Rattus norvegicus: one gene and its partners. Each later gene encodes a partner of the first gene's protein in a complex. Links are inferred from orthologs where the notes say so. Each region holds a gene or a part of one and is shown on either strand. Other genes may lie near its edges. The genes, in order: Itgav, Itgb8, Itgb6 and Tgfb1.

Region 1 (3,566 bases):
GCTCAGTGGGTAAGAGCACTGCTTGTCCTGCAGAGGACTTGAGTTCTAGTCTCAGCACCCACTTGGTGGCTCATGGCCATCTTAAATCTAGTTCTAAGGGATCCAGTGCCCCTTTCTGCCATCTGAGGGTGCCAGGCACACACATGGGACACAACCACAGAAGAAGGATGGGGACCCCTTTAACCCTAGCAGAATCAGGTGGACCTCTGAGAGTTTGAGGCTTGCCTGATCTACAGAAGAAGTTCCAGGACACCAGGGCTACACAGAGAAACCCTGTCTCAGAAAGACAAACCAACCTAATACCCAACCAAATAAAAAACACCCAAAGCGTAAAGTAGAAGACTGTGAGAATGATGACTGTGAGATAGGATTCGACCTTGTGTGTGAGGATGTTCTCTTCTTGCAGTTATGCAGATGTGTTTATTGGAGCCCCTCTGTTCATGGACCGAGGTTCTGATGGAAAACTCCAGGAGGTCGGCCAGGTCTCAGTGTCTCTACAGAGAGCGTCGGGAGACTTCCAGACTACAAAGCTGAACGGGTTTGAGGTTTTTGCCAGATTTGGAAGTGCCATAGCTCCTTTGGGAGACCTGGACCAGGATGGCTTCAATGGTAAGATCCAAGGGCCTTTCTGTGCCACCTGAGGAAGTCCTAAAATGTCGGGGATAGGAGCTCTTAGGTGCAAACCTCCTCCCCAGAAGGAGATGAGGGAGCACATCACTGACACCAAATTTAAAAATAGATTGCTGTTTTTTTTTCCTTTAAAATGAGCAAAAGAATTTTCAAAACTCGGCATTCATGAGCTAGAGTGCCAGACGATTAAATTCTGAGAGGAGCCCTCTGCATCCTGCTGCCTGGCAGCGCCCTCTACTGTCCCTTTGGTTCCAAGTGAAAAACTAGCTCCCAGGCCCATTGTCAAAGCAATAATGACTGAATGCCCACCTCAGGTGTGAGCTTCCACTGCTGTTTTTATAGTTGCAGCTTTATAGCAAAACCTTGGAGGGAGATCGCATGTCTTTTCGTGGGGACTTGTAAATGGCTTGTGCTCATTCTGTTTTAGTGGTCTTATATTCCAGTAGTTACAGATATCTTTAAAAAAAAGTTGACTTTTACTACACAGCTCTTTTCCAAAGCCTGAAATACAGATTAAAAATTAGATACATAAAGTATAGGTTTAAGATTTTTGTAAAGGAATAGTAAGGAGAGAAGAACTGTTGGTTTGTTTGTCTAACCAGCTATATATTTGGGTGTGCCCCGCACATGTAATAGAAAGCATTAAGAAGAGAGCTTGATAAATTCACTAGCACAGGAGACTCTGACTGGACAGTGGAAAGGACAGGCCTCCACTCCTGCCTTGTGGACAGCTGTGAGTCACAGGCCAGCTAGAATAACCGGAGAGGATTTCAGATTTAGTGAATACTAGTCCAAGGTATATTTTGTTTCCTAAAGTAGTCTTCAGCCTTTTGTTTTTTGTCATCAAAGAACACAGCATTCAACTGTAGAATAAAGCTCATGATAAGTTATGGAAAGACCACTGTGGGTCATTGCTTACTGATAATAAAACTGTATTTGATTTTTCTACCTTGTATATAATTATTGGGTCCCTGTCATTTTAGCTGGGCTCTGTCTCCCAGGCTTTCTGGAACAGCTAAGACACGTGCTGTTGCTTTGTTCCAGAGGTATTCCAGTCACCTTAAAGACATTTCCTGGGTATTGTCATCTTACTTTTCTTATGTTTGTTATGTTATTTGACAGCATGTATAAATAACAGCAAGAATCTTCGAAGATTTTTACAAAGAAGTTTTAGTGTTTGGAGATAAATACCTGAGGAGGTGTTGATGGTGTCTAGGAAACTGTGAATGGTAAATCTTTAATGGAAGATTACCTGAGCCATGTTTATATAAACATGCACTTTTGTCCTGCTAGTTCCAATCTAATTTTATTCAGCTCTGATAACAGTGAATGCCTGTTTCAGTCCTCCACCCCTCTTAGATATCAGCAAAAGGTGAATTAGTTACTTGTTGATGTTACCAGATATGAAGCAACTTAAGGGAGTGTCTTAGTTAGGCTTTTACTTCTGTGAAGCGGCACCATGACCAAGGCAACTCTTATAAGGACAACATTTAATTGGGGCTGGTTTACAGGTTCAGAGGTTCAGTTCATTATCATCAAGTTGTGAGCATGGCAGCATCCAGGCAGGCATGGTGCAGGAAGAGCTGAGAGTTCTACATCTTGATCTAAAGGCTGCTAGAAGTTTGGCTCTCACGTGGTTAGGACAGTATGGGATCAAGGGGTGGGTCTTAAAGCCCGTGACCACAGGCACACACCTATTCCAACAAGGCCACACCTACTCCAAAATGCCACATCTCCTAATAGTGCCACTGCCTTGGCCAAGTATATTTAAAACACTGCAGGGAAGGAGGGTTTTCCTTGGCTTACACTCTGAGAGCAGTAGAAGCAGAAGCATAATGTACCTGGTCTCTTGTGCCTACAGGCACGTTGCAGACACTGACAGGAAGTGAGGCCATATTATAAGGCTGCACAGCCTGCTTCCTCTCCCTGAAACACTAATCCACTTCCCCCAGCTAGGGTCCACCTCTGTGATGTCCCACAGCTCTCCAGGTCAGCACCACTAGCTGGAGACCAAGGGTTCAAGCTTGGGGATGAGGGACTTCACAGTCGAAGCACAACAAAATGGGTATGGAGAACAAAACAATAAGTCAGGTTTCATATTTTTATGTAGACTCGGGAAGTTTTTGTCATTTTGCCTAACAAAACAAAACAGAGGGAAGGGTTGAAACCTAAAGAGAATTAATGCAATCCAAGGAGAAGTAAGTGAGTTCATGACAGTGCAAGCCGCTCCAGACAGCAGCCGAGAGGGAGACAGTGACTGTGTATGCAATCCTGATGGGGTTAGCGAGAGACAGTTCATATTAAATAACCTCACAGACTACAGCCAGCATGATGGATGAGGTTAGAAAGAGATAGTAATCTCACAGACTAGAATCATCTTGTGGTGGGAAATTAATCAGTATTTTCTTTTTAAAAATTTATTTATCAATTTATTTATATGAATATGCCATAGCTGTCTTCAGAAACACCAGTAGAGAGCATCAGATCTCATTACAGATGGTTGTGAGCCACCATGTGGTTGCTGGGAATTGAACTCAGGACCTCTGGAAGAGCATTCAGGACTCTTAACCACTGAGCTATCTCTCCAACCCCAATCAGTTTCTTAATGCATATGTCAACTTGAATTATCTTTTTAAAACTTAGAAAGGGTTAAAGGAACTATTTTACATGATGCAAATACCTATTTTCAAAGGGTGACCTATTCTTAGAGCTTGTGGCTACAGATAGTCTCCTCAGTGCTGAAAATCAGAGGTAATTAAAGCTGCTGTGATGGTGCACACCTTTCCGTCAAGTGTTCTGGAGGGAGAGGTAAGCAGATCTCTGTGAATGTGCAGCCAGCCTGGTCTTCAAAGTTCCAGCCAGCCAAAGCTATATACCCTGTCTCAACCAAAGCAAAGCAAACCACCAAGAAACAAAGAGATTAATCACCAACACAC
Region 2 (3,566 bases), on another chromosome or scaffold:
TAGTCTCTCTGGCTAAGCTCCCATCAGGCAAAAAGCCAGAAGAGGGATCAAGCCGCGTGCCCCGCTAAGGATTGGCTTAGCTGATTGGAGTAGACTAAGTCAGCCAAGGGACATCACAATCTGTCAGTACATAAGCTATGAGGGTCACTAACCTGATGGCAAGCAGCTGCAAAAGATCAAGTAGCACCACCTTTGGACACACATTTTGTATTCTGTCCCCATAATATCTTTAACAAGGAAGCATTGTACTATACTGGCATCTGCTGTTTCCATTTCAATGAGTTGAAATGGGTCTATCTTTGACCTTCTCAAAGTCTTTTGTCACCAATCACAACAATGGTCTCTCTTAAGTCCACCTAGTTGGAGAAGATCCCTTTCCCCCATTGCTGAAATCGTGCCTCATTTAATAGGCATGCTGGGTTAGCATTGATCATTCAAGCCAGAATCAGCCATGCCTGGCTGCTACTATGCTCATGGCCTTGGCACATCCTCTCTCTAGATGCTCTTTCAAAGGCAACTGTAGCATTCAGACCAGGTCCCTGAAGCGTGCAAAATGGGTGGAGAAACACATGCTTCAGTCCAGGAAGTGTTTTATGAATCTGGGGCGCTTGTGAGCTCTGTGGAATACCCACTATTGTGTAATCGTGTTCCTCAGAGGCTAGAGTAGACCTCAAACAAGCACAGAGCTTACAGATTTTTCCAATGAGAGTTTGCCAGAGATCTGGTACTAAAACAAAGGTCTAGCATGCTCCCTCTCCTAACACAGCTTTTCTTTCTTCATCCAGTGATTATTCGTTCGTGGAGGAACACATAATGAATTTGTGGAGGCAAACAGACTAGATTAGTAAAGTTAATTAGTAAAAAGTGAGATGTGAGATTTGGGTATTGTCCAAGATGCAACACTCCTACTTCTCGGAGTCATGATGTGTAATAATAATGAAATCTTGCACCAGGGTTTGGAGGAAATATTTATTTCCCTATTAGAGTAGTACTGAGTTAGTTTCTGCAGATGTTTACTTTATTTTCCATTACTGCTGAGCAATAAAGGAGGAGAAAGCATAAAAGGAAAAACACATGCTAAATGCTTCAGGCTGCTCAACACCCTTTTTAAATCATGTTTTCCACATAGCACTGAACTGTACATGCCACTATACCTCCCTCTGTCAGTGTTCTAAACAAACTTACATATAGGTAAGAGATTTTGACATAGAAAACTACAAAAAGTTGAAATATTTTAATTGTGAATATTCTCCAAAAAAGAGTTCACTGTTTTGAATAATCAGTAATAACAGCCTCTTCTTTTGAAAATAGAGACATAAATAAACCTGTTTTTATTATAGGAATATAAACTACATTTATTTGATAGAAAACTTTGATTAACTTTTTAAAACTTTTTTTTTAATCGATCAACTTGTTTCCTTTCTTGCAGAGTGTTTATCTGGCCCAAGCTATCTGCGAATATTTTTCATCATATTCATAGTGACATTCTTGATTGGGTTGCTTAAAGTTCTTATCATTAGACAAGTGATACTACAGTGGAATAGTAATAAAATAAAGTCCTCATCAGATTACAGAGTGTCTGCTTCCAAAAAGGTTGGTGAACTCAGAGGATAGCCATACGTTATTGTTCAGTTCTAATGCTCAGCTCCTTCACTAATCCCAATATTTCTTCTCCATCAAGGATAAACTGATTCTGCAAAGTGTTTGCACGAGAGCTGTAACCTACCGACGAGAAAAGCCTGAGGAAATAAAAATGGATATCAGCAAACTAAACGCCCAGGAGGCTTTCAGGTGCAACTTCTAAAGAACGATTAGCAAACGAGCAAAAACTGTTGGAAGCTGGATGTTTTTATACAATGTATTCTAGCAAATATGATATAAAAAGTCACAGGAGGAGACAAATTATTGAAGAGTGTGCCATGGAGACTGGCAGGTGTCTTCACAACTATGTGACTCACTCAGCTGCTGACATTTTCAGTGAACTATGTGTCTTACTACTGTTGGAGACTAGCGTTGTAGCACTTTACTGTAATATATAACTTATTTAGATCAGCGTAGAATGTAGATTGTCTGGAAAGCACTGATTACACTTTACAGGTACCTGTCAGCCCTGCGCTGCTCAGACAGACACAAGGCTATGGAGCGGGTTGCACGGTGTCACCACCGCAGAGCAGTGATCCTTGTGTGCAACCAGCTGATGAAAAGCATCCAGGAGTAGTGGAAACAGTCAACCACACCCAACAATTGGTATTGTCTAGATGTGCACACGCAGCTGAGCAAGGGTTAGGGTTTCATTTCAGTTGGAGGTGAACAGATAAACTTTAAATGGTGTTGCTTTTGAAGCTGTGCAGTTTTGTGCATGTAGGAGTCTGCTTTCTTCTCTTTTAAAAAATGGATTTTGACTCAAACATCTTTTCCCTTTTTTGCATTTAAATTCTGTTTTTTCCTTTGGAATAAGTTTATAATGTCACAAATGACTGGATTAAATAAGTGCTAAGTTACTACTGCCGTAGAAACCTATATGACAATGTCACTTTATTAGAATACTGTTTGGTTTTTAAAGCTGAATGTTAATAAGGGTCACTGTAAGGTGTCATCTAAGTCCATAGCTTCTTTGTCTGAAAATAGTTTATATTTTCTTACCTGTCAAACTGGATGGATTGTTTCACTCTGTCATTGATCTGGCCTGTAGCCTGAAGTCCACAGGTGTCTACAAAGCTGCTTCAAGCTGAGTACCCTCTTTTCTGAGTATGTTTTCTTGATTTTTACTCCAAGTTGATGTCAACAGTTTTCAAATGAAAAAGTTGTATTATTCTTGCCCTCCTGTGCACCCTAAGGGCACTCCTTGAATCATCCCAACCCTGCTCATGAGAATTCAGAAAGGTATAGAATTGGAGACGTGAGGGTAATGTCTTGGAAACAAGCTAATCCTCCCTTTTTGATAGCCAGGGAATGGAGGCTCAGAAAATTAAAATGCTTTTACAAAAACACAGAAGCAGAGAAATGACAGTATTCGAGAAGAGCTGCCTTCTAATTACAGGCCAGCATTGCACAATAATACTCTACCTCTTGAATCTGCAAAATATCCATGGCAAAAATTAAAATACGATTTACTGAATTTTTCACGAGAATATTTCAGAGCAAAGTAGAAAAGGGTACTGTGCGTAAGCAGCTTCTAGTTTTTCACATTACCCACCCTCTGATAAGGCTTTGATACAGTCCTTCCCTCCACAGTGGCTACAAGAACAAGCCTCCTAGAGCTGGGCATGGCTCAGCTTAAAGCCTTGATCCAGAGGCTCGGTACTTGAATTCTAAATTCCAACTGTCCTTTGTGTAGCAAGTGTCTCACCTGTGACAACAGAGGAATCTAAAGAGTGTCTCTCCTCAGTTTACTGCTCTCCAGCACTTGAAAGTTCTAGATATTAGCATGTTGAAGACAAGCCTCCATTAGGTATCACTCTGGGGCCTGGAAAGCCTGTCCATTATTCTCTATCCAGAAAACATGATGTGTCCCTTAGCAGAGCAGTAGTGATGCTCTTAACTGAGTGTTTCTTCTTCCTCAATGA
Region 3 (3,566 bases), about 24 Mb from region 1:
GGAAATTGAACTCAGGACCTTTGGAAGAGCAGTCAGTGTTCTTTACCACTGAGCCATCTCTCCAGCCCCAGCCCCACCCCCAACTTTATTCTTTTGGGAAAGGCTGAGCAGAGCTGATAGCCATTCATACTGTGTTAGGAAGCATTCTGAGGCCCTGTGCAGCCACTGTATGCCTTTATTACGTCATGGGAAGTTGTGGTTTGCCAGACCCAGATTATAGCTATAAATCTGTATAGGTCTGATGGGCAGGTAACAAGTCGTATTTGAAAGTCAATTGCAGAAGAAGTGTAGCTTTCCTGGTCGGTGAAAATAGCAGCAATGGCTTAGAATCCTAAGGGGCAAGAAAAGCCATGAGCATTAGTCTGATTCTCAGTAGGCACCAAAATGGGCTTCCATGAGCACATCACACACACACACACACACACACACACACACACACACACACACACCACACACACACACACACACGCACACACACACCACACACCACACACACCACACACACCACACACACCACACACACACACACACACACCACACACACACACACACACACACACACACACACACACACCACACACACCACACACACCACACACACACACACACACACACACACCAGAGTCCAAGGACCTCAGGTCAATTCCGCTCAGACCAGCTTTGCCTGTCAGTAGCACCTGTTCTGTCCATGCCTTGGCCGCATCTCCCTGCTCTGGGTCCTGCAAGATCAGAGTGGCCACATCTCTGTTGAGCCGCCTTCTGCCTTCTCTATGGATGGACATGAAGGGCTGGGTCTTTCTGAAATCCCAGACAGAAGGCACACCTTTAAACCACCTTCTCTTTCAGCCTCTAAACATGGGTGGTGGAGGGGGCTCTAAAAGACCTTGAACTAGAATCCTTAAGACACTGAATTTAAAGTCCTTGAGAGGTCAGTTCGAGTGCAGGGATGCTGTAGCTGAAGGGAACACATCATCCAATAAAAGCAGCAGAGCGCCAGACAGGGAGATGTCAGGTGCTCTGTCCTTTAGGAATCCACAGGAAACATCTCTCTGGGTTTGTTGACAGACACACAAAGCTTCAACAGTCCTAGGCTAGTCCAGAAGCCAGCCATTCATTCGGAACAAATTCTCAGGAAAATATCAACTTTGGAGACTCAGACATTTAAAAGATCCACTCAGATTACTGAAGAAATTTTACGACATGGGTTTGGCGGGGGGGGGGGGGAGCCCAGGTTTATTCTTAAAAATTGCTGGGTAAATTCTCTGGTTATTCAGCTATCACAGAACTCCATCTGCCAATCGCCACCAGTGGCGTAGGGGATGTGATGTTCCTAGCATGTACTTATTCCTCTAAGCACAAACAAATTTAATGTCTGGAATTTTACAAAGAAATGATGACTTGTCTTCTTCTCACTGTTTCCCCCCTTTAGAATTTCACCCACCTGTCCGGAGCTGGCGAAAGGTGCGACACCCCCGAGAATCTTTTAGCCAAAGGATGTCAGTTACCCTTCATCGAAAACCCTGTCTCCCAAGTAGAAATACTTCAAAATAAGCCTCTCAGCGTAGGTCGACAGAAAAACAGTTCTGACATTGTTCAGATTGCTCCTCAAAGCTTGGTTCTTAAGTTGAGACCAGGTACGATGTGGTTGCCTAGTGCCGTGTCTGTGCCCTGCTCTCTGATAATCCCTCTGACTCCCCATCACATCATTGGTTGTTGGGAATTCTCACGTCCCAGTCTGAAGGAAATGGGGAATTACCTACCGACACATCTCTTCATTACATTCCAAATGTGTCACTGAAGACAGCTTCTCTGATGGTGACCATTCGAATTTCTCAAATGTTGACCATATTACTACATGTTTCTGCAAGGACTGAAATACAGATGTAATTTCCCCTTTATTTGAAAGGGTCACCTTTTCTAAAGCCACACACACACACACACACACACACACACACACACACACACACACACACATGGCAGCTTATCTTCCATCTAAATGGATGCTACTTCTCCCAAGGAGATATAAAATGTCCCAACATACACATCCTTCAGTGCTTCAAAACTCACTGTTGAGATTTGCATGGATGGGTTCGTTGACAAATGTTACCACACAGTTCATGAGATTACATGCATTTTTTTTTAGTTTTTTTAATTGGGTATTTTATGTATTTACACTTCAAATATTATCCCCTTTCCCCCCTTTCCCACTTCCCCTCCCCTCCCCCTGCTTCTATGAAGAGGCTCCCACTCCCACCCACCCACTCCCACCTCAACACCCTGGCATTCCCCTACATTGGGGAAACAAGCCTTCACAGGATCAAGGTCCTCTCCTCCTATTGATGCCAGACAAGGCCATCCTCTGCTACATATGCAGCTGGAGCCACAGGTCCCTCCATGTGTACTCTTTTGTTGGTGGTTTAGTCCCCAGAAGCTCTTGGGGGGGATGGGGTCTGGTTGGTTGATAATGTTGTTCTTCCTATGGGGTTGCAAACCCCTTCAGCTCCTTCAGTTCTTTCTCTAACTCCTCCAGTGGGGACTCCATGCAATGGTTGGCTAAGAGCATCCCCCTCTGTATTTGTCATGCTCTGGCAGAGCCTCTCAGCAGACATCCATATCAGGCTCCTGTCAGCAAGCATTTCTTGGCATCAGCAATAGTGACTGTGTTTGGTGGCTGATTGCATGCATCTTAATAAGGTCACACTGAAATAAAGTAGCCAGGTAGCTCAAGATTGGTTAGTTACAAAGAACTTCTGTGTTTAAGGATTTGCCTTTCTCACGGGACATTGCAGGGGGTGAGCAGACTCTGCAAGTGCAGGTCCGCCAGACGGAAGATTACCCAGTAGATCTGTATTACCTCATGGACCTCTCGGCCTCCATGGATGATGACCTCAACACAATCAAAGAGCTTGGCTCCCGGCTGGCCAAAGAGATGTCTAAATTAACCAGCAACTTTAGACTGGGCTTTGGCTCTTTTGTGGAAAAGCCCGTTTCTCCTTTTATGAAAACAACACCAGAGGAAATCACCAACCCTTGCAGGTAAGTGAGTGAACTCCCTGGTTTCCCTGAGCACTGCCTTCTATAGATGGAATCCACACAGCTGGGCTGCTGGGCTTGCAGCTTGTTAACACCCTGGCATTCTGCCTCGAGTTTGGATCTCAGCAATTCTCTGTGGCCTAGGTAGCTTCCAGCCAAGGTGAGGTCATCGTAACTCCATGATCTAGCCTGCAGACCCTGCATCACCTGCCAGGTTTTCGGGCCAGGATGGAGCCAACTATGTTTCCTGTTTGTGGACAAGGAGAGTTTGTCTTTCACTGTTGGCTACACAGGGCACATATACCAGTCCCTCAGGGATCTTCGGTTCCTAGTGACCATCACTTCCTAGGGTTATTTGACATTAACCTACATTTTTTTTCTGAGTATTTCTGTCAAAATAACAATTCTTGCACCTTCTTCTGACGCACTTTGGGAAATGTGGCTTTTGCTTGTCGCTGAGAGCAGCAGCCTTCACTGCAATTAAATTCAACAGGAAATGGGGCGGTGCCTCTATTATAATATGCTATAATCAG
Region 4 (3,566 bases), on another chromosome or scaffold:
GAGGGAAACCAAAGTGTTGTGGAAACCCAGGCAAGGTTAGGACCCAGGAGGGCTTCTGGGATGAGAGAAGACTGACTCATGGGATGTGTAGTTTAGCCACATGGAGGATGAGTCCGAGTGGGCTGGCACCAAGAGGAATGTGGAAAGCCCACTGGATGGAGGTCAAGAAGAATTTTGTGTGGTATACAGTAGGCGCTTAGTATCATTTATGTGTCCACTCAAGGAACATCTCCCTTGAACCAGTAAGATGGCTCAGCAGATAAAGGTGCCCACTGCTGAGATTAATGGCTTAGGTTCAAGCCCCAGGAACACCCAGGAAGTTGGAGGGAACCAACTTCTACAAATTGACCCCTGACCTCCCTGCATACCCTGGCACATGTGCACCCCCCTGAATAATGAGAAGAGGCCAGCTTAGGTTTGCACCGTGCCTTTGCCTCTGGCTCCCTGTGTGGCCCTGGCTAAGTCGCTTCCTCCTGGAGTGAAGGACTCTGAAGATCAGTGGAGTTTAGATCAGTGAGTGACTGGCGTCTGTGTTCGCTCTGAATGTCCTTCGACACCAACACTGCTCCTGGCCCTTGGCACCTAGATCATGATGATGTTTATCTTTGTGACCAAGGACCAGGCTTTACAGAGCAAGAAGATAGCAAGAACCCAGGGCAACATGCCTGATGGTACGAAAGCCTGCTAAACTCTGCGCTTGGGAGGCGAAGGCAAGAGGATCATGAGTTCAAGGTCTTAGCTCCATAGTGAGTTCGAGAATTTGAGGCCAGCTTGGGCTACGTGAGACCCTGTCTCCAAAGAAAAAGAGGGCCATGGAGAGGGGTCATGGGCGCAAGAGCTTCCATTTTGCAAGCACAAGGACCTGAATTCTCATCCCTGGCACTCATGTAAAAGTCCGACATTGGCGTAGTGTGTGCCTGTAACCCCAGCCTTGTTGGGGGTTCGGTGTATGTATGGAGACAGGCCAACTCATGACTCTGTGATCTGCCAATCTGGCCAAAGGGGTGGGCTCAAGTCCAGAGATCTGTCTGAGGCAATGAGGGAGAAAGGATTAGAGGAAGATGCTTGTCACCCAGGTATAAGCCTACCTGGTATAAAATGTACATTATACATGCATACATATACATATATACACATACATATCTACAGTTCCAAAAAATATAAAATGAAAGGAAATAAGGCAGGCACAGGATCCCTCCTCTGTTCATGTTGTTCTACTGAGAATAATCAAAGAAGTAAATACTCATGCAGAAATGTCAGAGCCCCTGCCCGCTATGGAGGAAAGGAATGGATGCCACATTTGGAGAGGGAAGTGTCTCCTCAGAGCCTTTCCCAAGGGGTTGACGTTTGAGCTGAGCCCTGAATAAAGGGGAGAAGGAACCAGCAACTTAAAGAGCGAAAAGTGTGGGGTGACTAGCAAGGAGGCCCCAGGGCTGGCAGCTTCCTGCCCCCTCTCCCTTCCCCCCATCAAGGCCTCACCAGTCACCTCAGACTCCTTTCCTCTCCTGCAGACGGAATACAGGGCTTTCGCTTCAGTGCTCACTGCTCTTGTGACAGCAAAGATAATGTACTCCACGTGGAAATCAATGGTGAGTTAACTTCCCAGCTCCTGCCGGACACAGACCCTGCATGTGCGTGCGTGCGTGCGTGCGTGCGTGCGTGCGTGTGTGTGTGTGTGTGTGAGAGAAATCTCACTCGCCCCTTGCTCACCCATCCATCCCTCCACAACATTCAAACCCAAACAGGGATCAGTCCCAAACGTCGAGGTGACCTGGGCACCATCCATGACATGAACCGACCCTTCCTGCTCCTCATGGCCACCCCCCTGGAAAGGGCTCAACACCTGCACAGCTCCAGGCACCGGAGAGCCCTGGATACCAACTACTGCTTCAGGTAAACTCTGTCTCTCTCGGAGGCTGCACAGGCTGGGGGCTTGACTGCAGCCTGTGGACTGGTGTGCCACCATTCATGCCTGGAGGGCTTGGGGACAAGTTCTTGGTTCTGTGGGCAGCTGAGAGTCTAGAATGTGGGGTGTTTTCTGGCTGGAGTGTTCAGGTTAGCACAAGAGTTAGAAGTCGGTTGGAAGGTTATCTTGTTGGGTTTTAAAATTCTTGCTAGGCTTCCACCACTTTGCAATGCTAATGAAAGAATTTACTGTGAGCAATTGAGAGTGCTGACCCTAGAAAGCGGGAGAGTTGAGATCCAAGCATTTGGGTTCAGAATCAGAAGGCGGTCTGCACTGGGTTCCCACACTCGAGGCAGATGGTGGTCTCCAATGCTGGTAGTTGGGAACGACAATTATTGGGGCTCAGAATGGCAGGGTCTGGCATGGAGATGTTAGCGTTCAGAGTGGAGGTGGAGAAAGCCAGAATGTGAGTCCCCTGAGGGTCAGGGCTTCATCTTGCAGTGGTGCACCCTGAGGAAGCTGGGAGGCGGAACTTCCTGAGATGTAGGCTTACAAGTGTGGAGTGTTGGAAGACAGCACTGAAGCAGGGAACTCTGAGGAGTCGGAGAGTGGGCATCCTAGAGTGTCCAGAATGGCCATCCCAAGGGCAAATGCTTTTTGGTCATTGTTTTTAAATTATATCTGTGTGTGCGTGTGTGTGTGCGTGCTTGCGTGTAGGGGCACCCATGCCATGACACTTGTGTGAAGGTCAGAGGACAACTGTTGGGAGTCCGTTCTCCTTCCACCGCGAGTGTCCCAGAGATAAGACTCAGGTTATCAGGTTTGGCAGTGAGCACCTTGACCCACTTTGTTTTGTTCAAGACAGGGCTTTGCTGTGTGACTGAGGCTACCCTCAGATTCACTCCTTTAGCCCAGGCTAGCTTGAATTCTCTGTCCTGGGATTACAGGTGTTACCCAACCACCCCATTTCAGACAGAATGGCAGACTCATACTAAGCCTCGGTAATGCGGATTGCGAGAAAGAAGTTGAAACACTAGATCCTAGGAGGTGTGAAATTCAGGAGAGTTGAGATGAGAGCAGTGAGCTACCTGTCCCTTCCCTGCTTCAGACTTTATAGAGTGCTGTGTTGTATGTCGGTCCTTGGCTGGAGCTGCTCCTCCCCCTCCCCCTCCTCCCCCTCCTCCTCCTCCTCCTCCTTCACCGTCCCTTTTTTTTTTTTTTTTTTTGGTTCTTTTTTTCGGAGCTGGGGACCGAATCCAGGGCCTTGTGCTTCATAGGCAAGCGCTCTACCACTGAGCTAAATCCCCAACCCCGCCTTCACCGTCCTTTTGCTGTTAGCCTTCACATAGGAACAGATGGAGGGGCTTCACACTGCAGGTTACTAAGAGATGAGAAAACTATGCAAGCTCTGTTCCCCGCATACTGGGAAACGAACTTAGGGAATCAGGAAAATCTCTTTGTCTGTCTGTCTGTCTGTCTGTCTGTCTGCCTGCCTGCCTGCCTGCCTGCCTGCCTCTCTCTCTACATTTGTTTTGTTTATGCCTGATGTATGTGTGGGCTCTGGGAATCCAAACCCAGGTCTTCATGCTTGCATAGCAAGCACTTGACTCACTGAGCCACGTCCTCTGCTGTGACAAGTCCCCAGTTGCTTGGAAGAACA

What was found.
Region 2: the proteins of Itgav (region 1) and Itgb8 are in contact, whole or in part, in a cryo-EM structure (PDB 8TCF), measured with the Homo sapiens proteins. The link is inferred for Rattus norvegicus from reciprocal best matches to the Homo sapiens genes ITGAV and ITGB8. Residues at the interface, in NP_002201.2 of Homo sapiens: Tyr48, Phe51, Trp123, Leu141, His143, Gln150, Glu151, Arg152, Pro154, Phe184, Gln186, Phe189, Pro204, Trp209, Asp249, Tyr251, Tyr254, Arg275, Arg278, Thr279, Gln301, Met302, Ala303, Tyr305, Phe308, Pro328, Leu329, Met331, Ser335, Asp336; in NP_002205.1 of Homo sapiens: Ser197, Pro198, Ile202, His203, Pro204, Arg206, Ile250, Asp251, Thr252, Pro253, Thr287, Ser288, His289, Leu290, Ala291, Leu292, Asp293, Lys295, Leu296, Gly298, Val300, Pro302, Glu321, Ser324, Leu325, Gly326, Gln327, Glu330, His349, Trp350.
Region 3: the proteins of Itgav (region 1) and Itgb6 are in contact, whole or in part, in a crystal structure (PDB 9CZA), measured with the Homo sapiens proteins. The link is inferred for Rattus norvegicus from reciprocal best matches to the Homo sapiens genes ITGAV and ITGB6. Residues at the interface, in NP_002201.2 of Homo sapiens: Tyr48, Phe51, Lys72, Trp123, Leu141, His143, Gln150, Glu151, Arg152, Pro154, Asp178, Ala179, Phe184, Gln186, Phe189, Pro204, Tyr208, Trp209, Asp249, Tyr251, Tyr254, Pro274, Arg275, Arg278, Thr279, Met302, Ala303, Tyr305, Phe308, Pro328; in NP_000879.2 of Homo sapiens: Ser183, Pro184, Phe185, Lys187, Thr188, Thr189, Pro190, Ile236, Asp237, Thr238, Pro239, Asp273, Ser274, His275, Phe276, Gly277, Met278, Asp279, Lys281, Leu282, Ala283, Gly284, Val286, Pro288, Glu308, Thr311, Ile312, Gly313, Gln314, Ile316.
Region 4: the proteins of Itgav (region 1) and Tgfb1 are in contact, whole or in part, in a crystal structure (PDB 5FFO), measured with the Homo sapiens proteins. The link is inferred for Rattus norvegicus from reciprocal best matches to the Homo sapiens genes ITGAV and TGFB1. Residues at the interface, in NP_002201.2 of Homo sapiens: Asp178, Asp180, Phe207, Tyr208, Gln210, Ala245, Asp248; in NP_000651.3 of Homo sapiens: Gly242, Arg243, Arg244, Gly245.

The regions. Positions count from the first base shown.
Region 1 is NC_086021.1:89,283,340-89,286,905, forward strand, and holds part of Itgav (integrin alpha-V isoform 1 precursor), read left to right. Parts: intron 1-406; coding exon 407-609; intron 610-3,566.
Region 2 is NC_086024.1:146,271,242-146,274,807, reverse strand, and holds part of Itgb8 (integrin beta-8 precursor), read left to right. Parts: intron 1-1,429; coding exon 1,430-1,593; intron 1,594-1,681; coding exon 1,682-1,804; 3' UTR 1,805-3,566. UniProt on the Homo sapiens protein: Integrin alpha-V:beta-8 (ITGAV:ITGB8) is a receptor for fibronectin. It recognizes the sequence R-G-D in its ligands.
Region 3 is NC_086021.1:65,523,834-65,527,399, reverse strand, and holds part of Itgb6 (integrin beta-6 precursor), read left to right. Parts: intron 1-1,429; coding exon 1,430-1,634; intron 1,635-2,789; coding exon 2,790-3,036; intron 3,037-3,566. UniProt on the Homo sapiens protein: Integrin alpha-V:beta-6 (ITGAV:ITGB6) is a receptor for fibronectin and cytotactin. It recognizes the sequence R-G-D in its ligands. Internalization of integrin alpha-V/beta-6 via clathrin-mediated endocytosis promotes carcinoma cell invasion.
Region 4 is NC_086019.1:90,330,804-90,334,369, forward strand, and holds part of Tgfb1 (transforming growth factor beta-1 proprotein precursor), read left to right. Parts: intron 1-1,511; coding exon 1,512-1,589; intron 1,590-1,745; coding exon 1,746-1,893; intron 1,894-3,566. UniProt on the Homo sapiens protein: Transforming growth factor beta-1 proprotein: Precursor of the Latency-associated peptide (LAP) and Transforming growth factor beta-1 (TGF-beta-1) chains, which constitute the regulatory and active subunit of TGF-beta-1, respectively.